4 linked regions of the Oreochromis niloticus genome follow. The protein of the gene in region 1 purifies or fractionates together with the protein of each later gene. This does not show direct contact. Links are inferred from orthologs where the notes say so. Each region holds a gene or a part of one and is shown in the gene's direction. Other genes may lie near its edges. The genes, in order: psme3, psme3ip1, mrps34 and psma4.

The links.
Region 2: the proteins of psme3 (region 1) and psme3ip1 purify together in Homo sapiens (affinity purification with mass spectrometry; 4 studies listed by BioGRID and IntAct, counting the BioPlex papers as one, with this or other methods). This does not show direct contact. The link is inferred for Oreochromis niloticus from reciprocal best matches to the Homo sapiens genes PSME3 and PSME3IP1.
Region 3: the proteins of psme3 (region 1) and mrps34 purify together in Homo sapiens (co-immunoprecipitation; 3 studies listed by BioGRID and IntAct, counting the BioPlex papers as one, with this or other methods). This does not show direct contact. The link is inferred for Oreochromis niloticus from reciprocal best matches to the Homo sapiens genes PSME3 and MRPS34.
Region 4: the proteins of psme3 (region 1) and psma4 fractionate together in Homo sapiens (co-fractionation; 3 studies listed by BioGRID, with this or other methods). This does not show direct contact. The link is inferred for Oreochromis niloticus from reciprocal best matches to the Homo sapiens genes PSME3 and PSMA4.

What each region holds. Positions count from the first base shown.
Region 1 is NC_031973.2:6,504,244-6,512,199, forward strand, and holds the start of psme3 (proteasome activator complex subunit 3), read left to right. Parts: upstream 1-4,956; 5' UTR 4,957-5,086; coding exon 5,087-5,128; intron 5,129-5,627; coding exon 5,628-5,660; intron 5,661-6,259; coding exon 6,260-6,322; intron 6,323-7,459; coding exon 7,460-7,564; intron 7,565-7,662; coding exon 7,663-7,711; intron 7,712-7,782; coding exon 7,783-7,901; intron 7,902-7,956. Other genes in the region: nbr1a (NBR1 autophagy cargo receptor a), read right to left, coding at 1-79, 200-423, 527-604, 810-992, 3,140-3,162, 4,176-4,194, 4,292-4,354, 4,705-4,806. UniProt on the Homo sapiens protein: Subunit of the 11S REG-gamma (also called PA28-gamma) proteasome regulator, a doughnut-shaped homoheptamer which associates with the proteasome. 11S REG-gamma activates the trypsin-like catalytic subunit of the proteasome but inhibits the chymotrypsin-like and postglutamyl-preferring (PGPH) subunits.
Region 2 is NC_031972.2:7,609,688-7,616,716, forward strand, and holds the start of psme3ip1 (PSME3-interacting protein), read left to right. Parts: upstream 1-4,006; 5' UTR 4,007-4,157; intron 4,158-4,424; exon of another isoform or gene 4,425-4,481; intron 4,482-5,783; 5' UTR 5,784-5,788; coding exon 5,789-5,915; intron 5,916-6,006; coding exon 6,007-6,105; intron 6,106-7,029. UniProt on the Homo sapiens protein: Promotes the association of the proteasome activator complex subunit PSME3 with the 20S proteasome and regulates its activity.
Region 3 is NC_031969.2:14,051,537-14,057,755, forward strand, and holds mrps34 (small ribosomal subunit protein mS34), read left to right. Parts: upstream 1-4,165; 5' UTR 4,166-4,321; intron 4,322-4,551; 5' UTR 4,552-4,601; coding exon 4,602-4,919; intron 4,920-5,009; coding exon 5,010-5,052; intron 5,053-5,228; coding exon 5,229-5,527; 3' UTR 5,528-5,705; downstream 5,706-6,219. UniProt on the Homo sapiens protein: Required for mitochondrial translation, plays a role in maintaining the stability of the small ribosomal subunit and the 12S rRNA that are required for mitoribosome formation.
Region 4 is NC_031965.2:10,700,023-10,707,640, forward strand, and holds the start of psma4 (proteasome subunit alpha type-4), read left to right. Parts: upstream 1-4,607; 5' UTR 4,608-4,756; intron 4,757-5,159; 5' UTR 5,160-5,182; coding exon 5,183-5,185; intron 5,186-5,280; coding exon 5,281-5,323; intron 5,324-5,762; coding exon 5,763-5,925; intron 5,926-6,013; coding exon 6,014-6,091; intron 6,092-6,393; coding exon 6,394-6,482; intron 6,483-7,618. Other genes in the region: slc25a44b (solute carrier family 25 member 44b), read right to left, coding at 1,673-1,800, 1,957-2,584. UniProt on the Homo sapiens protein: Component of the 20S core proteasome complex involved in the proteolytic degradation of most intracellular proteins. This complex plays numerous essential roles within the cell by associating with different regulatory particles.

The sequences.
Region 1 (7,956 bases):
TGTCTTGGTTCTCACGAGGTTGTGGCTAGGGTCATGGCTATGTCTGCACATCTCACACAGGATGCAGGACGGGCACACGCTGGCAGGCAAAATAACAAAAACATTAATGTAAACATTTACACAGCTACTTAAAAAACAACAAACATGTAAAAATCGTTAAAAACATTGTTGTGATGACTAGAGTTAATTTCATGCATACCTGCATTTGTAGGCTCCTTCAGAGGTGAGTTTGTTGCAGCTGCTGCAGTTTGGGGTGTAGCCAAGGGATCCATTCGAGGTGGAGGGGCCTGGTTTGGGTCCCATAATACCGCCAATAGCCCCAATTGCCTCAGGGGGACCTTCAGGGGATTTGTGGGTACAACACTGGACAGAAAAGTCGCTGCACATTCTTTCCACTACCTCCTTTACCACCTCATCCTTAAACTATGAAAAACAGAAGGAAAGCACAGTATTTTATTTAATCGCCAATTAAAAAATAAAACGTTCCATGTAAAAATACTGCTTCACAGCAGCAGTTAAATTTTACCTTCTCCATGTATGATCTAAACCACATAGGAGGGGGCTCATCATCTGGTTTGTTCCCCTTGTTATCTTTTACTGCTACCTGCATGAAAATACACCATTCTTCAGTTAATTGACAAAATCAGAGATTTTAGCTTTTAATAAATAAGCACAAACTTTTTCCCCAACAGGTAAAAAAAACTTAACTGATTCGAGGCACTGACTTTATTAAAATGATTTCAAAGGCACTGCACATGTGAGAATCTATAGGGAGAAGAAAGTTGGGGGGGAAGAGTAGAATTACTTACAGCTTCTCGCTCAGGGGTGACCTGCGTGCCTTTGTCCACTGTTTTAACCCTTGAGGGGTAAGGAGGAGCGGGTCGAAGGTCTCCTTTCAGCTCCTTCACCTCGGTCTTCAGTGGGCCCCCACAGGCCTGTCCTTTCATCTTGTACACATTCATGTGCAACTGGTTTCCCTGCTTCTCTGCACTCTGCATGGAGAATTAGCACAGAATGCAAACCACAGTCAAGTGACATGAGAACACACAGTAGCAACGTGATGTGTGTACAGATGCATAGTACATATACTGCACATATATTCTCTTATTTTCACTGTTTGTTCTTCTATAGCTTTGGTAGTCTAATTAAGGACACAGTTGTGTTGTTTATGTCTTAAGTGTAGTTTTACGGTGCAGGTTCTCTATGTAAGGATATATTCTATAGCAGTGGTTCTCAAACTGTGGTACGCATACCACTGGTGGTACGTGGGCTCCCTCTAGTGGTACATGTGAAGTCTCCTTTTTTTTTACGATTAAATAATATGCCATGTTCTGACTGAGAGATTTCAGAAAAATTCAAACAGCTCTGCTGTCACTTCCAACATAAATGAAGACAGAAAACTAAACAGGAGTGACGTTTGTAGGGTTACTGAAGTTGGGCTAGCTGGTATATAATAATGTGCTACGTGCTGGCTAGCAATACGTCTATGTTAGCATAATATAAACACAGTGAAGCTGGAGGATGAATGCTAACTTTTTTCCACTCAATAAAAGTTAACGTGAGGGTTCCCGATGGTTAGGGACAAATGCAATCGGCAGGATGCTGTAAACGGACCAAACTTCAGTCAGGAGAACAACTGAGATAATCCATCCACAATATGAGGTTAGCCATTAATATACTGCTGTAGAGCAGGGCGATATGACCAAAAATATTTATCACGATATACATTTGAAAATTTGCGATAACGATATAACTGACGATATAATTGACACTAGACAAAATACTTTACAACTCCACAACTTTATTAGTGCAAAAAACACCATCAATGTATTTTCACTTAAACAAGCAGCTATTTTTTTATGTGCATTAAAGTTATATAAAAATGTAACAGTGCAAATTCCTTGCTGACAGTTTAACCAAAAGGCATTTCCAGTGGAAATCGGCCGACATATCCTCAGCAAAACCATGTATAATATCCACAAAACTTAAAAAGAGGTTATACACACACAATATGGTAATATTATGTTGAAGCACAGTACGTATCACTCCGCGAGGCTTCTGCCTACGATAGCCGTAATGCTCCGACAATCCATCAACCGGTGCGGGTTCGTAGCTTAGCAAAGTCGTACTAAAACATTTGACAGATTTTCGAGCGCCATGTACATAAAATCGTTTCGAGGTCAGTAAACACAACCAGAATTCATACATAAGGCACACGGGATTATAAGGGACACTGTCGATTTTCAGAAAAATCAAAGGATTGATTTTAAGTGTGCCGTATTTTCCAAACAACATGGTAATAACGACGGCCCACTAGCATGCGCTACCAAAAATAGTGCTTTGTTGTGTATCTGACTGACGAAAGCTAAACCAGTTCCACACCACTGAAGTTGCAGCATTTTTACAAACCAGTTCTGGTTCATCCGTTTCATTTAAAGATCCACTTTCGCTCTTCTCATTCTGCGTCGCCGCCATGTGCGTATGTAAACATAGGCACTGCGCATGCGCGTTTTACCCATATTCTATTGCGATATTTCATTTTCCTATCGTTGCCCAAAATTACACCGGTATTACCGTGAACAGTATGATATAGCCCAGCCCTATATACCGCTGCATGGCCTGGGCTGTAGTTACATGGTAAGGTTTTAAAAACTGAGCTTTAAAATGAACAGGGGTGATAATAACCGAGAGAGGCTGACAGTGATCAATGCCATTTTTAGGGGCTTGTTCAGATTAAATAGAACAAGATACACAACAAAAACACAACAGCCTTAATAAACGCAGAGTAGTTTAGACCCAGAAGCAGGATTCATCACGTCATCATTAAAGATTGGATATCCCACCTGCTGTGAATGTTTTAATGCAGTACAGTTGTTATTATTATCACTTGTCACATCCTGTTCATGACAGTTAAAATAAATAACATTCATATAATAAATAAAATTGTCTCGTGTAAACTGTATATGGTGTTAAGTAACCCTATACCACTGTACTTTAATGTCGGTCATAAGGGTGGTACTTTAAGAGCCATATATTTTATGAGGTGGTACTCTTTTTGAAAAGTTTGAGAATCACTGCTCTACAGTAACAAAAGCTATCACTCTGTCCTTTCTGTTTAAACCCAGCACTGCTACAGTACCTTGATGGCTTCTTCATATTCATCTGTGGGGGGAAAAACAAACAAACAATAAATAACTTCACATTTTGTGGCTCAAATCTGTATTTTTTCCTGGTATTTTGATATTTTCATGTACGGGTACACCAGGAGTAAGGGTCAAAAAGTTTAGGTTCCAAATGTAATAACTTTCTAGCAATGTATTTTAAAGACCAGTTAACAACTTGAAAGACACAGCTTGACTTCACACATCATTGTTTACTGTTATGCATATCATGCTACATGTCCTGCAGGCCAAGCTGTGAATATTCAACACAATGCTTACAAAACCGGTTTGCTCGAAACACATTTTTTATAATTAATGCAGAAAAGGATGTTGATCACAATCCCCGTAACCAAAAGGCAGTTGCCTACCCCATGGAGTTTTTGAGCCTACAATTGAATTACCCATTTGTTTTACCTGTGCATTTAAATGTCTTTGATCTTGACACCCCACTGTTGTCTTCTAGGCCCTTGCTGTTTTACGTTTTGTCTCTGTTTAACACCTTTGTGTTAATTCTGGACCACATGTTTTGCATGGCTTTTCAATGGTTCAGCATAAGTTTAGCTGTTGGTAAGTCCACTGTATTTAGCAAAATTCAAAGCAAATTCTCTGAAGACAGGACTTGACATAATTTCTACAATACATGTTATGAATGCCAATATTATCTGTCATAGGTCCATATCAGGTTAGGAATCTATCAGTTGGACAGCTTTCCTGGATCAAACAGGTCATTAGGGGGTGACTATGTATGTAAGCATAATGGGTTAGGATGTAGTTAGGGAAAAGAGTCTTTGTTATCTTAGTTAACAGAGGTTTGTGCCTTTTCATGTTATTTTTCAGCCACCTGATAAACAAACATGTATTTTAATTTTGAGTATATTAAACCAAGCTTTAAACAAATGCTGGCTACATATATTTTTAACAAAGTCCTGGTGATTTACCTTTGAAGGAAGACCTAAACCTAAACATATTCAACATAAATTATATAGAAAACAAGCAATTAAATATTGTCCTCACCTTGACTGTTTATGCAAATCTGAAATGTAAGGTAAATGAGATCAAAATTAAAAACTGAACTTGGGATTCTGCCAAAACATAACCACTGAAAATCTACAATGTACACAATCCCTTACCTCTTCATTGTCTTCATCAAAGTATTTCACTTGAAAGTGGTTGATCCCAAATGATGCTTTGATCTGAAAAGTAACGCAGAACAATTGAGAGCAGTTCAGTTTTTCTCCTCACACGTGTTAGGAAAAACATGAACCATGACTGAGTCAGTGAGAAAGACCTCCACAGCTGGATACTGTATTATACATATGTAGTAACCTTAAATCAAACTGAGGACATCCTCACTTGTGTGCCTATATTTTGTAAAGCTCCGGCTGGCTTAAAAAAATATTATTTACAAATACATTATTGTTATTGTCGTAACAAGATCGACTATCCTTTGGGAGCTCTGTTTATGTGTCTAGGCCAAAACGTCTAGGCCTACTTTTTCACTAAACTGCGCCAGCGTTTAGCCAAGACTCTGCTAGCTGCTTACCCAGACTTCAACAGCTTCCCACTCCAATTTATCCATATCCTGAGCCAGAAACCTCTTCACGTTCCCCCGGAAATTGACTTTAATAGTAACAGGGAGCCCCATGTCCGCCGTCTATCGGTGCTTAATGGCTATCATTTGCGTGAAACCCGGCCTGTGTGAGCCCCGCTGCCCTCGGATGTTTTCTCTTGTTTACATCGTCAGCTGCGTCTAGAAAAAGACGGTGACGTTGCGCGCAAGCGCAGTTGCAACACCGCCTCCGTCGCATGTTTATTGTCGTCATCTTTAAGCTCACGAAGTGTGGCAGACAAGTGATAAGCCACACGTTTACAGGTGAATTTAATGCTGTTGGGACAATCGTTCTGCTCATATTCGACTACATAAGATGTCTTCACTCCTCAAGCTGGATAGTGAAATTAAAACCAAGGTGAGGTTTGGCCTTTTGTGAATTCCAGTTGAGTTTATACTGCGTGTTGTTGTTGCCATGTTCTTTGCTAGCATGTTAGCCACATTTAGTAGCATGATGTGAGAGCTCGGATAAGGCCAGGCTAACAGCAGCTACCGGCTAACCGGTTTCTTGTTTCCCGCCCACTGCAGTACACCTGTCAAACCTTCCCCCAGGTGTGGTGTCAGGGTGGCGCTAAACGTAACGGGGATATAGATAAAGTTTGATTTACAGCCCCCTGTGCTGGGAAAATGGTTGCTGCTACTACGACCACATGCACTGACGAAGGCCTGAGCTACCAAGTTAGCTAACTCAGCCAGCTGCCGTTCACACCGGCGTTGAGTTACCAATGCTAGAGGTTGTCTCTCACACTGAGGAACCGGTCATGTGTTTAAAACTGGACCAAAATAAAGTTTACTGTCTTAAAGTGTTTTTTGTTAACTTGGTATTCAAACTCTCGTACATCTGTTTGTGTTTACAGGTCGCTGCTTTCAAGGAACGTATCACCGCAGAAGTAAGTCTCTGTCTTACGTTGTAAATTAAAATATATACATGCAGGAGTTTATCCTGGCTCATAGCTAGCCTTTAGGGGCCTGTAATTAAGGCGTAGAGTCTGCTTCTTTATTTAATGGAAGCCTGCGTCCAGCTATGAGTAAATTAAATCTAACTTACTAAAGTGCGAAAAACCAGTGTGGTACTGGTGTAACACCTTTTGTTCTATTTGAGCACTCAAAGCACTTTCTATTAAGCCTCATTCACCCAATCGCGCTCTTGCTCACACACATACATACACATACATTCAAACAGCATTTTTATCTGTACTTGAGCACTGTTTATCTGACATTCACACACACTCACCCACTCACACACCCCAGTTGATGGATTGGGGACAACTGGGGTTAGTATCTTGGCAAAGGATACATTCACACATGGACTGGAGGAACGGGGAATCAGTCTACCAACCTTCTGATTTGTAGGTAGTGTGGAAACTCACAGATATAGATGTTTCTATATATGTATAGCTAAATGTGTATATTTGGTGAGCACAGTTTCATACACACCTATTATGACTGTGATGTCCAAGACTCCACTAACAATGCACATTTCTTCCAGGCAGAGGATCTAGTCGCCAATTTTTTCCCAAAGAAGTTACTGGAACTTGACCATTTCCTCAAGGTCAGTTAATTGTACATTCAGCTAAATCAAGTTGGCATAATTTTAGATCTTTGTGGATAGTTGAAACTCATTCCTTCCCATGTATTATTTGGCTTTAAAGTTCATTATCTGTTAGTCAGTCTTTATCAATTGTCCAGAATTAAAATAGTAACAGCCAGGTGCTGTTAAACAAATTCACTTGACGAACTGGTCATCAGCAAGCATAAACATCTCTATAAAAGCAAAAAATTTGAAGTCCATCATTTTTCAGTGAGGGAGGTTGTTCACAAGAGGAAAACATTGAAATGGGTGTTAGTAATCACAGGTGTGGATGCTCCAGTTAACTCACCCCCAAGGTCAAACTGTACAATGTTCAGAGGTAATTTTTGTAAGAGTTATATCTCTGACTTTACAGGCCTCAGTTAGAATGTTAAAGTGCATGACAGCACAATTAAAGACTGGACTAGTGTGGCTTGTTTGTAAGATTTGCTGGGAGAAGGCTCTTCAGCCACAGGACCTGGCCACCTTCCAGTCACAGAGTCGACCATGAACTCCTCTCTGTCCTAAAGTAGATTCAAATGTGAGGCCATCTGTTTAACAGCTAAAGTTGGGTCACAAAAGACAATGATCTTCAACAGATTGAGTGAAAAAGAGAGAGTAAGGTGTTTTGCTGTTTTCCAGAAAGGTCCAGACTCCAGCTGGGTTTAAATACTGTGACAGGGATTTATGAGACTGTGTATTAGTAAACACCTGCAAACCTTAATAAAGTGAAGTAGCATATAAAGAGTGGGCCAAAATTCCTCCTGTGAGAGACTGATATCATACAGAAAACTATTCAGGTTGTTGCTGCTAAAGGTGGTTCTGCAAGCTATTGAATCATGGTGTGTTCTTAGTTTTTCCTCACACTGCTTCTGTCCTTTGGCTTGGTTATTGTTGACTACGTAATGACATAGTAGTGTCCAAGACTTCATATGTCACTACATAAGTCATATGTTTTTCATCTGTGTTTGTATTCAGCCATTTTTCAAACCTGCTAGATCAGATTTTTTGATGTCCTGACATGTGAAATAGATTAGATTTGGCAGCAGATGTGCTTTCTTCTTATCATGTCTGTATATTTTGGCATTTGACAACTAATCTTGTCTTTGTTTTTTTCAGGATCCAAGCATAAACATCACTGAACTGAAGGAAATTCACTCAGACATAAATCTGCCAGTGCCAGATCCCATCTTGTTCTCAAATCTCCACGATGGGCTAGAAGCGGTGAGGATCCATTTTAGAGTTAGATTTCGTATTGTTACAGTAACTGTTGGTAAGGTAAGGATGAGAAATTGTTTGTAACTGTTGCATCTCTCTCACAGCAAAATGCCAAAAAGAGGAAGATGGAGGATGGAAGTGGGGTTGACATGGGTAAGTACAGTTTCGCTGGCTGAATATTTAGTCTGTATTTTATGTATTTTTAACTTTTACTCCTTTATCAGTGACTGGCACCAAGGTCTTCGCCATGCCTGATGGGATGATGAAGAGCAATGCGAACCTTGTTGATCTTATTGAAAAGGTCAAGCCCGAGATCAGGACACTCATAGAAAAATGTAACACAGTAAGTAAGAGCTCTAAAGTCTCTTATCTTATCTAAGTAATGTTATTTTGGCCAT
Region 2 (7,029 bases), on another chromosome or scaffold:
TGACATAGATAAAGAGACTAAAACAAGAACAGGAGATGGACAGAGCTCAAGAGACGTGAAATAGGGTCGCGATGCAGAGACAGAGGAACATGGAGACAGAGGTGCACAAAGGTTGAGCAGTGGACACACAGTTGGCCATTATGTATATGCGAACTATAGAATCTTCCTGATTTTCCACAGCATTAGTTTAGGTCTGCACCTGTGTTACTGTGTGCACTTTGTGTTCACAGCAGCAAATGACTGTATGCAATTGTCACCGTAGCTACCAGCCTATGATTCAGTTTCCACGACAACCCATCCTCTTCTTCATCTGCAGAGAACCTTTCGGTTAGAAACATGTGTGTCTCCAAAGACAGAGGGTGACAGAGAGGCTGAAATGCTCAGAGACCAGCCACATCGGGAAAGTAAACATTTCTGAAGCTATTTCAGGTGTACGCACACCACCGAGCTCTGGTGGCATAGGATCTGGCTCTTGAGTTATAAATCTAAACTAATGTCTAACACTTGTACAAAAACAGACAGCCAACAAGGGCATGATGCAGAGATTGGCACTGTTGCTTCTGGTCAGCCGGGGCCTTTCTGTTTGGAGTCTGCATGTTCTCCCAGTGAGTGTGTTTGTATTTTTTTTTGTGGGTTCCATGAAAGTCAGGCTGATCAGTAACTGATTGGCCCTGGATGTGGATGGGAAACAGTGTGGCTATCTCGTTGTCTCTGCAAATCTAAGGGATCAGAGTCAAGTTTGTATTCTGTTATTTGTTTATGTCAAATAAAAAATGAAATTATTCACAGATGCAGATGGGGGATGAATAAAAGAAAACAACAGAAAGTGTCATATTGGTGTTGGTGGCTTCACTGGAATTTGGCATTCTCTGGAACTCTACTGGAGAGATAAGCAACAATCATCCAACACATATTCTTTCACCAGGTGATGGCCGTGGAGAGACTTCAAAATACAGATATTTTGTTGGGTTGGATTCAGGTGACTATCAAGACCACACCGTGTGATTCACATCATTTGGATACTCATCAAACCACTCTCAACAAGATATAAATGTTTCATCTTAGGGTAAAGGTGATCACTCCCTACAGCTGTGTATTGACCTGCAGTGACCCCTCCCAATAAGAACACAAGTGGATCCAAACCACAGCATAACAGGACCACCACATGCCCCCACTGCAGGGGTCAGATGTTCTCCTTTTTCCTTTAACTCCTTTTAATGTATTTAGAACTACTGGATTTTTTAAAGCCTACAAATTATTATGCATGCAAGTATTAATATCAATATTGATCTGATGCCAATTCTACTGTCGTGTAAACAGAATTTTACTTTTACATCTGTACAAATCTTTCAATAAGTTTTATAAATTAAAAGTGGCAGATAAATAACATAAAGTCTTTCACTCCAGCTGGGAAAATACACACAGGTATTACCACATTGGTGGAATGATAACATATCTGTTGTCTATCAGGCTGACCATTATCTCAAAAGATTCGTTACTCGCCGTGCTCACTGGACACCAAATGAAATGCAATTGCATTGGTGATTTCAGTGAGTCTTTGTGATGTGACGGATACACAGACGCGCGCTGTAGCCCACGGGCTCGCTATTATGGACGCCTGAGTTGATGCTGGATGATTCACGTTAGCATTGCATTGTTTTTCTTCGCATTCATGTATTAATTATGCTGTAATTTGTGCAGTTTGAATATATTGTGTTGCTTTGTGCTGCAGTCGTTGCATTTGATTTCTTCTTTATTACTTTCTGTAATTTAGATGTTAATCCGTTTTGAGGGGCAAGCTCTTCATCCTCTGCAGTGACTTTCTGTGGTGGCATTTAAATTTCGTTGTATATTTGTGTCCAGACGGCATCTAAGAAACCTGAAGCTGCGTGCTGCAGGGAACAGCGGTGATCGGTACATGTACACACGTGGTGCTTTAGGGAGCGTCTGATTAGCTGTTGTTTTGAGTTTTAACAGTCGGAGCGATGCTCGTTAAATAGTGGGAGGCCAAATTCGTGATTGTGATTAAAATACAAATAATTGGGCAGCACTACTTTTATTTAGCCTGTACAAAACTTTTTTTCCCTGCTTGGATACGTTTACCAGCTGCTGCCTTATCGTTGCAGTCAAAACATCAAAACTGATACAAATCCCATCACCCATAAGTGGTGAACTGTTCCTTTAAAATATGACTGAGCTTTTAGCATTAACCTCCATGGTGCAATACATTTTATCACAGGACCTGACAACATGTTGATAATATAAATAAATAATAACTTCGCTGCATTTGTGGAAGCATGCATAACAGGCACTGAAAGGCTCACTCCCCAGCTGATTGGTAAAAGCAGCACATCAGACTGACTAATCAACCCACGAGAACATTTGGGTTTCAGTTATGTGCATGCGTTTTGAACAAACAACAGTTATTTTAGAGACACTATGGCTGAGGCCATGTCCAATGAAATGTACTTTCATTGGACTGGGACAAAAACTATTGTCTTGTAATTTCAGTTTTTCAGCTTAGCAATCATCAATAGTTACTATTTTGGTCGTAGTGCATCATTAAATGAGGAATCATTTATAACTTCGATATAATGTAACCTTCACTGAATAAAACCATTGGAATGGTTTCTTTTCTTTCTTTCGGTTTTATTTATATAGCACCAATTCACAACATCAGTCGCCTTAAGGAGCTTATCCTAAAGTAAATGCCCTACATTATTAGAGATAAAACTCCAACAATCACATGACCCCCCTGGGCAAGCACTTGATAACGGCGGGAAGGAAGAACTTCCTTTTAAAAGCAACAAACTTCTAGGAAAACCAGGCTCAGGGACGGGCAAACACTTACTGCAGCAGGTTAGGCTGTCAGAGGTTGGACTATTAAACCAGAACAGATTTTCAAACTAGAAAACTGATTCTAAAAGTAAGTTATGATTGAAAAATTGTGTTTGCATGATGTGAGGCCACTGTCTGGCTTGTAAAAGTTGCACAAAGCCACCGTGATGTCATCCACTGGCTTTTGAAGTCATGTTTAAGAAGCTGCAAACCTCGTGTTACACTTATCATCGTTTTTGTTTTTTGAAAGCAGATGTCACAAGAACGGGTTGGATCTGACTGTGAAACTGAAGGTTACTTCATGGTAATGTACAGTCATGTGATAGCAACTTGCCAATCCCATACACCCTAAAGCATAACATGCTTCTGGACAAAAATGGGAACTACATGTTTCCTACATGTGTCCAGCAACACTTGAAACTATCAGCCATAACTTTAAACTAGCCAAGAAAGTGTTTACAGAGGGAAAGAATTAAGTGAGTGGAGGATCGTTTTTTCTTTAAACTGGACTTTGTTTTAGCAACACAGGAGGCTGTGGCCTGTGGGCGCCGCTTGCTAAACGTACACATTCCATCATGTGAAATCTGTCACTTAAATTGAAAGGGGATTTCAAGAGGTCATCGTGAACAAGACGAACGATTAAAATAAATTACCATTTACCCTTAAAATGTAGCTGAACAGTCCTCCAGGGATACCTTTGGACTTCATTAATGGATTTTAGGCGCCATCTTGTGATCAATTTGGTAACTGCTTACAATCTTATTTTTATGGGTTTACTTATATTTATTAGGTAATTTGAGAAGGCAAACTTACAGAGAAGGTCGAATATATACAACTGTGTACTATATATTCACGGTTTTATCTGCAAACGTAATTTATTTGAAAAGTTTTAGTCTTTTCTTATTTTCATGTACATTTCCTCTTTTTTGCATATTTTTTGTTTCGACCTCTATTTATTTTAGGTTTGGGTTTGTTTGTTTTTTCTGGAAAATTGAACTACAAATGGTGCGTATAATTAAGGGTGCGTATAATTAAGGAAAAGAAGCACATGATGTAGATATAATTAATAATCGACAACAACTGTGTCTACTAATAAATCTAGGTCATTGGCAATATTCGGTAGGCCTTCGTTTTCTGTTAAAAAAAATTTAATAAAAATCATCAATTAACATATATTGAAAACAGAGCCGCGTGCGTTTAACAACAAAAAAAGCGAGTCGGAACTTAATTCGAACGCCGAATTTCGCGACGAGCCGTCTTCAGCGTGACACAAAGATCATTAAACTGGAGCGCTAATCTAGCGACAAGCCTGGATCTTGGTAAGGTTTATCCACATACCGGTCTTTAATCTTGATACGAGACAGTCCTAAACTAAAGACTGCTTGGTCGTGCATCTGAAAATGTTTCTTTTCAGACTTGACATGATGTTCTGTTGCTCTTAAAGAATATTTTTAACGCTAACGAAGCTAACGTTAGCCGCGGGTTTGCAACGCACAAGGCATCTGCGAGTTCAGAGTTTGCTGCTCTGCTATATAGGCAAGAGGTCAGGTGTGTGAGTGTTTCCCTTAATCTTTGTGTGTCCACAGCTTTAAGGGACTAACTCTGTGTAGCAGCCGCCGTTGTTCTCGCTGTTCTGTGTAACGGTGAGTGGATCATCAGGGCCCATTATAAACTAAAAGCTTCGGTCAGTTAAGCAGATCTCTCATTTAATTCACTCGTCATCTTATTTCACATCAGTTAAAGTTTAAAATGGCTTCAATCTTCATATTCATCAGAGGGCTAAATAAAAGCCAGAAATCACGCAGATCGGCACAGCTTAGTCGAAATATTGTGCAGTGGTGTTGTGGTTGTCCAGCTGTTGCGCTTGTTATCGCTTTGTATGTGATGAACCGATAAAAAATAACAGGCTTAATGCCATCTGCTGCAATGCCAACCAATGAAAGCTGTCACGTGATGGCCATTTTCATCTTTTGTGCCTTATTTTTAAAGTCAACAAAATATTTTGCAAGCCAGTAAATTGATTTGTCAGGAAACGTGGCAAAATAAACTATCGTGAGACCTGTTATGATACGTGGTTTGGAGATGATTACAACAAAAACACAGGAGGAGGCAGTGCTGAATGTGGCAGAGTTGAAGATGTTAAGATTTTTACTGGGAGTGATCAGGACAGGATTAGAAATGAGTATATCTGAGGGATCGATCAGGCTGAACGGTTTGGAGACTAAGTTAGCTGGGCAAACAAGACCTGGATGGTTTTTACATATGCAGAGGAGGGATATTGCATATATTCAACAGATGTTGATGATAGAACTGCCAGGCTGGAGGAAAAGAGGAAGGGCACAGAGAAGATTCATGGATTTCGTGAAGGACAACATTCACAGGGTTAGTGTGACAGAAGAGGTTGCAAAGGATAGGATGAGTGGGAGGCATATGATCTGATGTGGCGACCCCTAAAGGGCACAGATGGAACAAGTAGTAGTTGTTTTTGTTTTCTTTTTTTAATGCAGAGATGCAGTAAAAAAGGCAGTAGTCAGCAGCAAAGTCTTTTAAGGGTTTTGCTTATTTTAATGGAATAGACTTATTTTTTGCTGAGATATGTCAAGAATCAATTAATCTTCTGTGTTCTTTGAGGAAAACCCACAGGTATTGATCGAGCAGTCACTTGTAAATGGTCTGTGTCCGGTGCGGAGATGGGACAACACATTTTAGAATGGTATTCAGAGCTTGTGTGTGGCTGTAGAGCAGGTCGTCTAATCTGAAGGTTGGTGGTTCGATCCCCGACTGCTCCAGTCTGCATGCCAAAATCCTAGGGCAAGACACTAACCGAGAGTTGCTCTCCAATGCGTCCATTGGAGTGTGAATGTTGCACAGAAAGCACTTTGAGTGCTCAGAGTAGAAAAGTGCTATATAAGAATCTGCTAATTTCTGTGTTTTATGTTGCGCAGTTGTAATGGCAGAAGCAGAAGGAGCAGGTGTCGACCTCAGCAGGAAGTTTGTGTCTGAAGCGGAGCTTGATGAGAGGAGGAAAAAGAGACAGGAGGAATGGGAGAAAATCAGAAAACCTGACGACCCAGAGGGTAAGAACACATATCCACAACTTTACCAAACCTCTAAAGGATGTCCCACTGTGCATGTAACCCCTTTATATTTGTCCTTTGTACTTCTCAGAGGTCCCAGAGGAGGAGTATGACCCACGCTCCCTCTTTGAGCGGCTGCAGGAACAGAAAGACAAGAAACAAGAAGAATATGAGGAGCAGTTTAAATTCAGTAGGTCTTTGTGGGTGTTTTGTGCCTTACTCCACTTTTCATCAGGGTTTGAATGAACACTTTTCTTCTGTAATTCTGTGATTGTAAGAGATAATGTATTATCAGCAGTATGTGTCAGTACACTTTAATATTCAGTCTCTAAAGGTTGTTTTTGAACAGCTTCATAGCAAATGTAACTTAAGCTTTTTACAGCACAAGCCACCATTTTTAGACATCATTAAGGTCCACTTATGAATTCAAGTCTTAAAAATGTCTTTGGTTCTTGAGGAAACCTTGTAAAGTCTGTAGATTTAATCTTGAAGAGTTGATCAGAGTTAGAATGGTGTGAAACTTTGCGCCCCTTCCTGATTTTCTTGTATGTTTGTCACTCTTAAATGTTTCAGATCATTAAACAAATTGAAATATTAGACAAAGATAACACAAGTAAACACAAAATGCAGTTTTTGAATGAAGGTGTTTATTATTAAGGGGGCAAAAATCCAAACCTATGTGGACCTGTGTGGAAAAAGTGATTAAAGTAGATCAAAAGATCCTTAAAAGCCAGACATCACGCTGTGATCCAAGGAAATTCAGGAACACTCTTTCACACAACTGTATGTCAGGTTGGGAATTGAGATTCGTCTCCCAACACAATAATGGAAGTACTTACTCCCATAATTTGGTGCTTTTAATTCTGATGAAATTCAAGATTTCAAAAATGTCTTCAGAACTTGGAAGCAATGATTATATTAAGGGAAACATTGAAATGTAATCTCCTGCTTCGAGTATCAGACAACTGTCCCCCAGTTTTTATGTAGAGCTTATTTGGAAAAGCTCTCTTCAGTTCGTTCATTAATAATTCCATATTCAACATTTTTGCAAGTGATGTTAGATTTTTGTTTTCAGTGCTTCCGCAGATGACGCTACTTTGTGTGTTTGTGCAGT
Region 3 (6,219 bases), on another chromosome or scaffold:
TACATCAATACAACCGTTATAGCCCAAATTTTAATAATATGTATGCATTAAGTGCATAGTAATTACATAAATTGCAAAAAAGTGCAATAAACTACAAAAAAATTGAAAATCATTATTGTTTTTTTTTTACATACATTTCCAGTTAGAGAAATTTAAGAGGCTTATACCTCAAAACTGTAAATACAAAAAAGTTGCACAAAATAGTTTCCAACCACGATAAATTTATTTTGAGTGTCTCCATAGTTTTATTTTTGAGATACACTAATTTGTATATATTACAGGAAAAATGAAAATAAATATTATAATGCAAATTTGCAAAAAACCAGCATGTGAATCAAAATAAACTATTTCCAACAGTGTAATTTGACTTCTAAGCATCCCAGAAACGATACAGAAAAGCATAAAGTCAAACATGACTTTTAAAAACACCAACATAGGCTTTGAAGGTAAAAAACTACATTTTGCGCGAAAATGACGTAACTTCCGGTTTCGGACAGGTAATGGCGGACATGCGATAGTTCGCGCTGACTTATATTCCAAGTAGGAAGTGTTATGAACAGCTGATCCGATCGGCAAAGCGTGCTTCTGGAATATTATGTTTTTGTTGCTGCAAGTCTGGAATATTATGTTTTTGTTGCTGGAAGTGCTTTTTATGCAATTTTTGCAAAGCTATATGTGGAAGGAAACCGTGACCTAGGGCGAGCTAATGGAATAAGATGTAAGTACAACTCCTACGGTTTCATATGCAAAAACAATTATTGCGCTACCTTACGTGGTTCCAGTTCTACAGGGATTTAAAAATAGTTAGGCAAAACGGAGTGTGCCTGCTCCGACCGGTTGTAAAGGGTTAATGATATATTTTATGTAATAATTTATAAAATTAGGGTTAGAAACGATAGAAGACAAATGACACGACAGACACTTTTCTATCGTCCACACGATATATATCGTCATATCGCCCAGCACTAGTTTGTTCAGCTTTTTTTCTTTCTCAAAAGTCTTTCTCAAAGCAGCTTTTCTGGCCCCGAATTCAGTTCAAGCTCTGTGTTGTAAATCCTCTCTAGTGCAGTGGATGAGCAGAAAATAGTAAATATGAAATTGTGTACAGAAAGATATCCATCCTCCTGCTGTGTAATCCGCTCCCACACTATGTGTTTAGTATGAATACGGTTCATTTTGTCCAAATATGGTTTTATATGGCTAAAGGTGTCATCATTGTGACAGACTCGGTGTTGCTACTGCTACAATGACCATTGAGACTGAGACCATGCACAGTCAGGTCGAGGAGTCTGTGAAAAGGATTGTTTTGCCTCTGTTCACCACCACAGTGGATCTGAAGTGAAGCAGTCAAGCTGTGACTAAAGTGTAGACCTATCAAGAGGCCTAACATCCTTTTTTCTCTCATTCTCAATGGCTTAAAAGTAACACGGATGGGCCTGAGATGTCCTCGCGTACATCTTATTTTCCACTCAGGCAGTGGACGGAGGCAACATCACCTAAACTGCATCACTGCCCAAAAACCTGAGCCATATTTTGATTGATTCAACGATTATTGGGACATTATACCTTTTAGAAAATGTTATGTTTCAATAATCTCCTGGGACCATGGTAAAAAAAAGATGGACATAGCTACCGTGATGACACCAAGAATTTCTGCTGTTGCCGTCTTGGCATTTTGGTATCCAGTGCAATGAGAAGGAGGCGGAGTTGACTATTAAACCGCATGCTCATTGGCTACCAGTGAGCATGTCCTGGATAATCCTCCTTTCCGACATATGCAGTGCTTAACAAATTTACCAGACCACCAGTCATAAAAAAAGTCAACCTTAATATTCAACCACTAAAACTAAATAACTGTAATTTGGCATATTTTTTTTCAGATTTTTAAAAAATAAAACAGTGAATATTTTTAAAAAATCAAATCATTAGGATTTTGGTAATTCTGAGTACTGATAATTTAGGGCAGCTGTGGCGTAAACCTTTCACTGGGCAGTGATTTGAGAAATTTGCTAAGCACTGTGGAAGGAGTCAAATTTACAAAATAGATTTAATGCTCTTTAGAACATTAAATCTATTGCAGCACAGCGATTACAGATCTTCCAGCAGGGGGGGCATTTCCCCAGAGATTACTATGGGACCAGAAGTCTTTTAGGAACCACAGGTATCGCCCCCTGGTGGCTTCTGTTTTCAGACCTGAGACACTTAGTCCATCTTTTATACTGTTGATGGCTGGGACGTACCATAAAAGTGTAAACATGCATGCTGCAGCCATGTTTTGCAGCCTGCCCTAATATATACAAACACTTTTTGTATATAAATGTTTTTCAGTACAGAGAAGCTCAGAGTACTTGATGGGTATTTGAGTATTTGAGTGTTCATGAATGACAGCCTGGGGTACGGTGAGACATGTGGGGCAGATATGTAAATAGATTCTCTGTAGTCGCAAACCATAATAATGAAACATTAGTGTTTTGCCCAGAGGTCAGACACCCGTTTCTGATGTCCTCAAAGTTCTTGGTTTCAGTACACTGATACAAATACCTAAGGTACTATGCAACACAAGCATTCTCTGAGGCAGTGGGTGAGGTTAGGGAGTCATTATGGAGCAGCAGGGATAGTACCAGAGGACCATGCTCATCACTCACGAGCCACAGATCATCTAGTTGAGTAAAATCTTTCAGCTGCCTCGTCCCCCATATAGAATAATGTAACCACCGGGAAGTTAATTGTGGTCCAGCAGATGAATTTGTCTTCACATCGATGCATCAAAGCACTTTTTTCTTACTGTTTTACTGTAAATTCTAAGTGTTTCTTCTATACTGTGTCATATTATTAATACTGTATGTGAGGGCCTTCACTTGCCTTTCTCTGTATCAGCATGATTTTCAGCTGAAAATAAAATGAATGCTAAATATGCAGCATGGGCTCCATTTGTTCATTTAGTAGCAACAAATTCGTTTTTTGCTGGTCAACTGGGCGCTTGTTAAAGAGGTCGGGTTTTTGTTGTGAATGTTTCTGCAGCTGACAGTGACTCATTGCTGTTTGTGTCTCATTTCTCACAGCACACTCATCTTCCCCATCCTCCTGTGTGTACTTTAGGTGCTTTAGTAATGAAGATAAATCCTTTGTTTACTGTCTGGTGTTAATCTGCACTCACAGACACTTTGTTAGGTACACCTTAGTGGTCCTGAGTTGGGCCCCCTTTTGCCCTTTAGAACTACTTAGTTCATTGTGGCGTAGATTCAACATTTAACATCCTAAAGGTGCACTGTGGTGACTGGAGAAATCTCAGCAGATGAGCATTTTCTGAAATGCTCAAAGCTGCCCCTCTGACACCAAGAACCAAAGTTCAAAGTCACTTAAATCACCTTTCTTGATGCTCACTTTAAACTTGAGCAGGTCTTCTAGACTCTGTCTACATGCCTAAATGCATTTGGGTTGCTGGCATGTGTTTGGCTGACTAGATATTGTTGAACAGGTTTAACAGGTGTACCTAACAAAGTGGCTGTTGAGTGTGTAACAATCCAGGTTTTCATAGATGTCTGACTTCACAGGCAGTCAGACAAAATTCTTAATAAAATATAAATTAAATTTTCTTCTGTTTGGAATCATCAACACAGCAATCCAGAAAGAAAGAATATTGATTATTAAATGCATATTAAAGAAAGCTTAACAATTAATATTACATATTGTTGAAAAGAAGTTTCTTTTCTTTTGGGGGGTTTCATTTTGAAAATGACTCACAAAAAATGTTTTCACCTGTCATTCATTTCAGCTGCCTGTAAGTTTCCTTTGCATTTGGTTTAAGGAAAAGGACATACAGCAAGCAAAATAGGACTAACTAAGACAGACGGGCTAGTGGCTCTTGTGGTCCTCCATAGAGGGTTAATACACGGTAAATTATTGAGATAAGAAGGAAGGAATATCGATATTTACAACAAATAAATTAATACATAAAGTTACTGAAATTGAACGGATTGTTTGGAAACTGACGACAAGAGGAACCGTAAACCCACTGCATCTTAAAAACACATTAATTGGTGGTTTTGCATTTAAAATACTTTGTATTTACTGTGTTCGTGTGTGATTGCCTGGCATACGTTTTACTGGCTAATCTAAGCTCTCTTATGAAATGATAATTTTCATTTCTTAATTTTTTAAAATTGTTTTTTATGAAGACGGAACTTCTCCTTACACGGAACAAAAGCACGCTGGCTGTTCCCACGGAGCATTTTATGCCCGGACCAAGTGAGCGTCGGAAGCTCTGCACCTTGCTTGCGGAGGTCAAGTAGCAGCAGTTCTCTTTCTGGGGAGTTTTCAGGTATTTAATGTAGACATTTAATGATTTTAAACACTTTCGATAGTAGCTCACTGCTATGGGTCGGAACAAATGTTTGGGACGACTAATAACTGGTGTTATTTAGCACGGAGCACCGGCTAACAGGATGCTTCCCATTTGATTGCAGTTTTATCTCGTTTCTCTAACACCTCAAAGACATAATTCAAGATCAGATATGACAAGATTTCTTTTTATTTTCATTTCTTTTCCAGGATAATCGCTGACCCGTGTCCATCGGAGCTGTGAGGAAGACACTGCAGTCATGGTGAAGAAGAAGAGACTTCGCCTCATCGCGGAAATGGCTCGGAAGATCAGGGCGTACAGGGAGCTCAAGTCCCGGCCCCGGGAGTCCCAGAAGTACGCCTTGGACTACGAGACAATGAAGCGGCCCTTCACGGGGAAGATGCTACCGGTATTAGCATGGCAGGATGTCCGCAGGGAGAGCCGCCTCTTCTCCCTGCTGGCCGGGATGAGGCTGTTCGGAGTGGGCCGACTCTTCACCCGCAAATCCTGGCTGGAGGACCACTCCGAGCCCAGCTACTGGCAGATCACCAAGGTCAAGGTGGACTACACATCCGAGGTGAGAGCATGGAGCCTGCACACTGTTATGCTAGATAAAAGTGAGAGTCTTGTATCTAAAGAAATGGAAACTATTCTTTGTGTTTTGTAGAACATGGATCATGGCAAAGCGTGGGGCATCCTCACTTATAAAGGTAAGATTAGTTTGATCTGTTATTAATAATAATAGCACTGTTTATGGTCATTGTAGCCTGTGTTGTCTTATTTGTTGTTACTGTAACAGTCATTTTTAATCAGTATTTTATGAATATCTGTGTTGCCTGAAATGTGTTATTTGGTAAATATTCTCCAAACAAACTATCATTTGCAGGGAAAAAGGAGAGCGAGGTCAAAGAGGTGGACAAGGTGATGTACCATGACTGGCGCCTGATTCCCAAAGACACGGAGCAGCAGTTTAAGGACTTTGAGCCTCTGCCCGAGCCGCCCGTCCGATACGTCGCCTACCCTCCCCTGCTTCGCGCAATGCTGCTGGCGCAACAGAAGAAAGTAGGAAGCAGCAGAACGGCAGAGGAGCCCATCCTGCCTTTAAAGAGGGATGTTCTACTTAACAAAGACTATTTTCACACGCAGGAACAAGAGCGACAGAGGAAAGAGGGGACCGCGGTGTAATGGTTTCACTTGAATGTTCACTAATCCTGGATATTTTTGGACTAGATCATTGTTGACAAATACTTCTCTATATCTGGCTGAATCTTCCACTCAGATTACTTCTTTGTGGGTCTGATGTAGGCCCTTGTGCGTGTGTGTTATTGTTGTATGCTGAATATTAAATTTGAGATGAAATGTAGCCCCTTTTAAGTTATTTCTGTTTTTTATGTGCACATCACATCACAGTGCACAGCAAACTTGTAACTTTGACTTGGATATATTCTGGTTAAGATCTGAGAACTTTAAAAAAAAAAAAAAAAAAAAAAAAAAAAAGCCTTATCAGAGTATAAAGTAAACAGTAGCCTTTAGTCATTTTCTTGTATAATAATACAATTAAAATGACTCAAGGGGACATTTGCATTATGTTGCAGTTCATCCAGTGTTTTTCAACATTTGACCCCAAAGCTGCATATGCTACCAAGCTAACCTACATAGTCACTTCACAAATTATGTTAAACATGGAGTCACTGGTGGTTTTTAGTATACTGCTGCCATTCTGCTGGTTTATAGCATTTCCTGTGATTTGTGTTTTAATAAGGCAAACCTTTGCCAGGATTTTAAAAGTACATTTTAATGAAAAGGATCCTAATCCAGTGTAGAGTGTCGTACCACTGGTCAGATTCAGACCTATAAATAATAAATGAAGGCATCTG
Region 4 (7,618 bases), on another chromosome or scaffold:
TTTAAACACATTATTCTCCAGATACAGAAAAGTCATAATGTATCCCTCAAAATTGTAAATGAAAAGAACTTGCATAAAATCCTTTCAAATCACACATTTTATTCATTCATTCATTTATTTATTTGTTCATTTATAACTTCATTTTTGAGGTATTCTTGCTATAATTTGCAGCAAAAATGAAAATAAATGCATATTGTGGCCAATATGCAAAAAGTATGCATGCACATCAACATAGACCATTTCCAAAAGTGCATTCAAACCTCTAAGGCACAAAAGTCAAACATGACTTTTTAATAACACAAGTAGGGATGGGTACCGGTTTCGGTTCTGACATAAACGGTAGTAACCAGACTGAAAAGCAGCGCACATTTCGGTGCTTTATTTCGGTGCTTTTTTTTCCTGAGCTGTGATACACTTTGGATTTTAGCCAATATTTTACCTTTCCAAAGATAGTAGGCGGGCCCAGGTACGTACGTTCTTTTAGAGCAGAGCTACAGATTAAAAATGCCCAAGGCGAAGCGGTCAAAAGTCTGGCTGTACTTCACAGCAAAAGATGCAAACCCAGCAGCCTGCAACAAGTGCTTTAAGCTGATACTGTGATACTGTGCAAATGAGGTAACTCCTTGAATCCGATGAAACACCTGGCGACGCATAGCGTTTTTTTAAAAGCCGAGAAATGCGCCGTATTTGATTGCTTGCTGCGAGACCTCACACCGTGCACATCTACTGCGGGTGTGGTGCCTGTTATCGGACCCGGAGTTAGCAACATCCCCCAAGAACCCGAAGAGGAGAGTCCTGGCCCCTAGCCCTGTCAGTGTAGCAGAAATGATGACGGATGATGATGGCAGCAGCAGCCGTTCTTCTCTGGGTGAGTAGCTTAATGTTGTTCGTGTGTAATTTACGTTGAGTACGCTAACACGTTATTAAATTAATGCATGTAAGGTGAACTAGCAAACACCGTCGTAGTTACATGCGGCTGTCTTCTTGTTTGATGGCAGATACTCCCTTCACCCTGGCCAAAAAGGCTAAAATGACCAAAGAAAAAGTGGAAAACAGTTAAACATGAGAGGTTTTTGGACAAAGTTTGTGTTTTTTCCATTGATTAAGCACTGCTTCCAGCCAAGAGTGAGACCATATATGCCCTATAGCTGCAGAAAAGGCTAACATTGTTATCTTTTTACAAAAAAACAGCTGAACATGAGAGGTTTTTGGACCAATTTTGTGTTCTCCATTCTTTAAGCACCGGTTTGAGCACCGGTTTGAGCACCGTTTAAGCACCGGCACCGTTTCAAAAGTACCGGTACCGGCACCGGTATCGGATAAAACCTAAACGATACCCATCCCTATGATTGACATTAGCAGAAGGAAAACAGCTGTCTGGGACATAGTGAAGGCGCAATATGTAAGCGCAACTCCTGGAGTTTTATATGCAAAAAAATAATGCTCTAACTCATTTGATTGCATTTCTACCAGCATTTAAAAATAGATATGCAAAGCTGGAAGCGCAGGCAATCCTGCTGGTGATAAAGAATAGGAAGGGTCATTTTCACACAGACTTCTTTTTGCAACCAAAGGTGCCACCACCTGTTGGCCATTCGACAGGAAGCAGTTTTCCTTTATATACAGTCTATACTTCCAACATTTGTATTTGATGAGAAATATAATAGCTTACCTGGACTCGGGCTCTGACCACATCCATTGGATTGGTGACAGTGGAGGCAGTAGCAGCAGCTAGTGGTCCAGCCATGGCTTGTAAGATCAGATGAGGACAGTCGCTGGGAGCCAGTTTAGAGAGTTGCTCTGCAGAACATTACACATGCAGATATGTTATTAATCACATGTTGACGCCACGAAGCATTCATTCACACTACAAATTTACTAAAACAATGAAAACACAAAAGATAAGACAGACTTACAGCCTCAAAGTTAAGAAACTGCGCTATAGCTTCCACTTACCAGCATAAAAGTGATAGAAAGGCCACCACACAGCACTGTTCGGGATATAGGTGAGTAAAGAAGCCACATATCCCCTGTAGAAACCCCTGAACCCATCAGCAGCAAAAATCTGAGCAATAATGTTCCTGGTTTGGCCAAACACTTTCTTTGGCTTTCCAGTCTCAGTGTTTGAGTAAAGCCGAAAGCGTGTGAGGTGCTGCCCTTGGCCCTGCATCATCAGCTGCTGAGATATGACATCTATGGGAACAGTGATGCTCTGAGCGACCAGGGAGGCCGAGCCCCCCGCCACCAGTGACTTGACGGTGTTGTCCTCTGAATACTGCGAAACGTACTTCCTCACCAGCTCATAGGTGGTTATGTATGCTTGGCCTGAGATGAGGGTGAAGGTGTTGACCATGAAGCCACGATACAGGCCTCGTACGCCCTCCACCCGCAGGATCTTGAAGAAGGCATCGAAGGTGCCGCCATAGAGTGACTTGCCCTTCTGCACTTGCAGTCGAGTCCGGATCAAAGTGGCCGGGTAGACTGTGGCCCGGATTGTCATAGTCATGAACAACCCAAAGGAGTAGAACTTCTTTTTGTCGAGGTCCTCCCATTCGATGATCTGGATGTTCCTTTTCTGCTGCATCCTGACAGCTGTAGGTGCCCCCTCATCAGACGGATTCTTGTCTAACACACAGAAGAAAAAGAAAGAAAACAGAACAGTCTTTAAAGTGGCAGCTAAAAGAAACTGCGCTTGTTTTTTATATTCAAAATGAAAAACTGGCAAACATTTTGTGTTCTGAAACTCTATTAGACACTGTATTCTGGAGTTGAAGGGCAAGTGCAGAAACTTCATGAAAATCCTCCCGGATGCAATACCAACATCTCTAATTTAGGTGATCTTGTACCATTTTTGCCATTCCTAATATTACCAAAATATATGACGAAATACCTTTAATACAAAACTGGTTGTTACTTCTCCTTGAGCAGTAATGTTTAACTTATATCCAGTTATCTACGACTGAGTTCAAGGGTCATGCTGAAACTAGCAAATCAAAGCTAAAAGGCTGTTTCTAAAGAAATAAGTGTCTTAAGCAAAAACTGTACTGCCATGCTCTTACAAATGTCTGATTATATATATATATACACACACACACATTATAGCAGAATGTAGCTGACCCCGGTGTCAGAGGACACCACGTTCCGGAGTCAACGTGGAGTCAACTGGAGCGCCAGTGTTTCATCTGAAAACAACACGTAAACCTAATATAGCAACTAACACACTGAGCAAGCCAAAAGCTTCACAAAACGTGCCAGTTGCCACCTGCTGGTTTAGCGTTGTTAGCTAACATATTTTAGCTTAAGCCGCGCTAGCCCCGGGGTAAACGATGTTAGCATTGGTTGAACGTTAACTAGCTTAGTGACTACTTACCTATTCGGACATATGTTTATTTCAGAGTCATCTGCTTAGTGTAAGTCGAACATGAAACATCGCGTCAACAAATGACTGGGAATGTGTAACTAAAGCTAGCGTGGGTGCAAGACAAGAAAACACGGAGTTGGCTAACTTCCCAGCTAGTAGGCTAACTCTCTGAGATCTTCCTGCTCCCATTCAAACGCCATGCTGTTCAAACACCCAATCACATGCAACGTGTCTTCTTCGCTTTCTTTTACATTAGGCTTCCGGATATTTCAGCTGTCTCGTTACTGTCGCGCACCACCAGGGCTGGAGTAGTAAATGTATTTCAGCAAGTTCAAGAGGCAAGAAAAGGTAATTTACCAGACTTCTGTTTTGAATATATACTTTATCAGGGCCCAGTTTCTGATATTAGTTTAAGTAGCGTTTATCATAGTGAACGCGACTTGGTTTAATTTATTGATCATTCATGGTATAAAATATGTTCCCAATGATATTATAATCTTGGTGTTCCATTGATTTTACCAAATTAATAAAAGCAAATATTTACAATCTAAAGAAAGAAAGAAAGAAAGAAAGACTAACAGCTTACTGAGTATAACTGAAAACAGAATAGTAGTTCAACTCAATGACAACAATGACCCACAACATGTAAAAACATACCTAATGACCTTATGACTCTTAACTGTGTCATGTGCCATGGCTCAGAAGTCATTTGATATTTTTGCTTCTCCACAAGACAGTGCAAGGGTTATTTGTGACAAAAACATGGCAGCAAAAGTGAAAGGGAATGTTTACAAGATTGTACTGAGACCTGTGAAACAGTGGTGCTGACAAAAAGAGATGGAGGTAGCAGAGTTGAAGCTTTTCACTGGGAGTGACCAGAATGGACAGGATTAGAAATGAGTACAACAGACGGTTAGCTCAGGTTGAGCAGTTTGGGGAAAAGTTAGACAGGCAAGGCTGAGATGGCCTGGATATGTGCAGAGGAGTGACAGTGGGTGTATTGGACTAGGAATGTTAAAAATAGAGCTGCCAGGCAGGAAACAGAGAAATACCTCACAGGAGGACATGCAAAGGGTTGGTGTGACAGAGGAGGCAGTTTATCCGCTGTGTCTACCCCTAGAGGGAGCAGATGGAAGAAGGAGGATGTACTTTTGCTTCGGTAAAGTTGTCATTTTTAAAAGTGCCATTAGGAGGTGTTCAAGTACATCACTAACCAGCAGTCAGTGAGCTGTGCACTGTGTTACAGACTGATCGGTCCTCCCACTGAGAGGTGGCGCTGCTGAGCGGCTACTTCACTGACGCGGTACGCCGGTGTTTGTGAGGAAACGCCAAACTGAAAGTAGTGGACCTCTCATCCTGGGCAAAAGTACGCCAAGTTAGACTCGTTCACCAGAGGTAAATAATACACAATTACTATATAGTCACTGCAGCACTTGTTATTTTAGCATAATTTTACATCTTTACTTCCTTTTGTCGTGGAGCAGCTTGGCGACTTCGTTTGTTATGAACTAGCTCGTTAGCATGCTAGCTAACATGCTGAGATATTGCAGATTCATTCTGCTGCACCAGTTAGCCGACTAGCTGCCAAGGGCTTATTAAAGCACGCGTTGTTTTTATAAACCAGCTTCAGAAACTTTTAGCACCTATTTTGGTTTCTAACTTTAGCAAAATATATGTTGACTTTCTTTATCTCTGAATTCAGATACGTCTTGTGTCGATTTTAAAAAGGCATCGTTTTTGGGTCTTGTCTTCTGCAGCTTACGCCTGTCTGTAACTGCTGCTCTTTTTACTTTTTCAGGATATTGCCAGCGACTTGAGAAAATGGTACGTAGCTGTTATACTTTTTAAAAATCTCAAAATGTTGTTTGTTAGTTTTTTTCAACTAGTATAGGCATTAATTTTGTGTTGTTGTTGTTTAGTCTCGCAGATATGATTCCCGGACAACCATATTTTCTCCAGAGGGTATGTTTTATTTCTTATCTAAGACTTTGTAACCAAATACTGGTCAAAATAATCCAACACAAGAGGCCAAATACTATCACTCTATTATTACATTGTATTACAATCTCATGAGTTTTTGTTATTTTAATCCCTCTATGAACTTCAAACCAAATACAAACTATCAAAATACACCAACTCATGACTAGTACTTAAAGCAGGAACATGTGGATTAATGAGCCTAGTTCAACGCCCTAGAAATAAACACTCTGGGTCAACATATGAATAATTTGAGTTTAGTATTTTACTTCAGGGGCTACCTGTGAGCTCTAATCCATAGTGAAACTGCTGTAAAAGTATTTTTCTTTAGTATTTTATATAGCCACCGTTTTCCAAAAACTGGTCTTAAAGGGGTTTTTTTTAGTATTGTTCATTTAAAAACCCAAATTTTTGTAATTTACAGGACGCCTGTATCAGGTGGAGTACGCAATGGAAGCAATCGGTCACGCTGGAACGTGTCTGGGTATCCTAGCAAATGACGGGGTGCTGTTGGCAGCAGAGAGACGCAACATCCACAAACTGCTCGATGAGGTTTTCTTCTCTGAGAAGATCTACAAACTCAATGAGTAAGTGAGCTTCACTAGATTCTTACCTTTAAAATGTATTCAATTATTTTGTTTTTGGTTAACATTGCGTTTGTGGTCACATTTTCAGAGACATGGCCTGCAGCGTTGCTGGGATCACATCAGATGCTAATGTACTGACAAATGAGCTGCGGCTAATTGCACAGAGGTGAGTTTCAGAAGGAGACAATTTTATGGCTGTAATTAGAAACAAAGGGATGATGGTGAATGCAGGCTGATGTAACCACCACCACCAGCAGTTGTTTTCATACCCACAAATAAAGAAAAAGCTAAATATGTGTAGACTGGTGCACTTTCAAAATGAGTCTTATTACTTGAGTTATGTTATTACAAAATGTGTTAAATAGTTGGTGATCTGAAATTTGAGATTACAGCCTTAAACATGTGTCTGTAGTTTCTAACCATTTCTCTCATTTACACCAACCACTAACCAGTTTGAATTCTTCTTAGGTATTTATTGCAGTACCAAGAGCCAATACCCTGTGAGCAGCTGGTCACAGCTCTGTGTGACATTAAGCAAGCTTACACACAGTTTGGAGGTAAGATGCACTGTCTGTTTTAATCCTCACAGCCTTTTACATTGCTCACCACGGCAAATCTCCTCTACTTATTGTCAGTCCTTACATTTAAAGTGTTTTAAATGGGGATGTGCTTGACTAGTCAACTAGACATTTAAACACTGCTGCCCTTGCTCTTTAACACCAGAAACACTAGTTAGTTAAACATCCAGCCATCCGCTTATCCTTTTCAGGGTCGCTGGAGCCTATCCCAGCTGTCATAGGGCAAGAGGCGGGGTACACCCTGGACAGGTCGCCAGTCTGTCGCAGGGCTAACACACAAAAACAGACAACCATTCGCACTCACATTCACAACGATGGGCAATTTAGATTAATCAATTAACCTATCCCCACTAAGTGCATGTCTTTGGACTGTTGGAGGAAGCCGGATTACCCGGCGAGAACCCACGTAAACATGGGGAGAACATGCAGACTCCATACAGAAAGACCCCAGTTTAATGGTGGAGTTGAACTCAGGACCTTCTTGCTGTGCGGCAGCAATGCTAACCACCATGCCACCATGCTGCCGGTTAAACATAATATTCTTATTTTATTATTGTACAACTGTAGTTGCCGGTTCAAAGTCATTACTGTGCCAACAGCTGCTAAGCAGGGCTACAGCCTCTGACAGACAGCTACACCACCCTCATAGACAGACCTGTCTGTCTATGAAGGGAAGTTGTGAATGAGAAAGAGGTGGGAGTAAAGAGAGGACAGCCATGCTAACCCGTGTGGTTCTGCAGTACTTTGATTTCAAAAAGAATTAGCAGGTGTATGTCAGCTGTGTATGGAAACAGTAACCAAAGCCAGGTGTAACCACAATCCACAGCAAGGTGTGGAGGCTAGCATGTTGCTGTTGCTGCTAGCACTGCTAAGCTTAGCAAGATTCTTCAAATTAATCTGACACTTTGTGTTTTTGCAGTGTTATACATCCATGATACAAAGTGACACACATAACAGCAACATTTAAAACATGATTTGATTAACAAGAAACGCGATTAACAGTTTCTTCTAGCTACTAAAATACACCAAATATTTATCTACGTCCATTAACGTGTGTGCAGTTTTCAGTGTTTTCTCAGTGTGTTTTGTATTCGAGACTAGTCAATTAGTGAGAT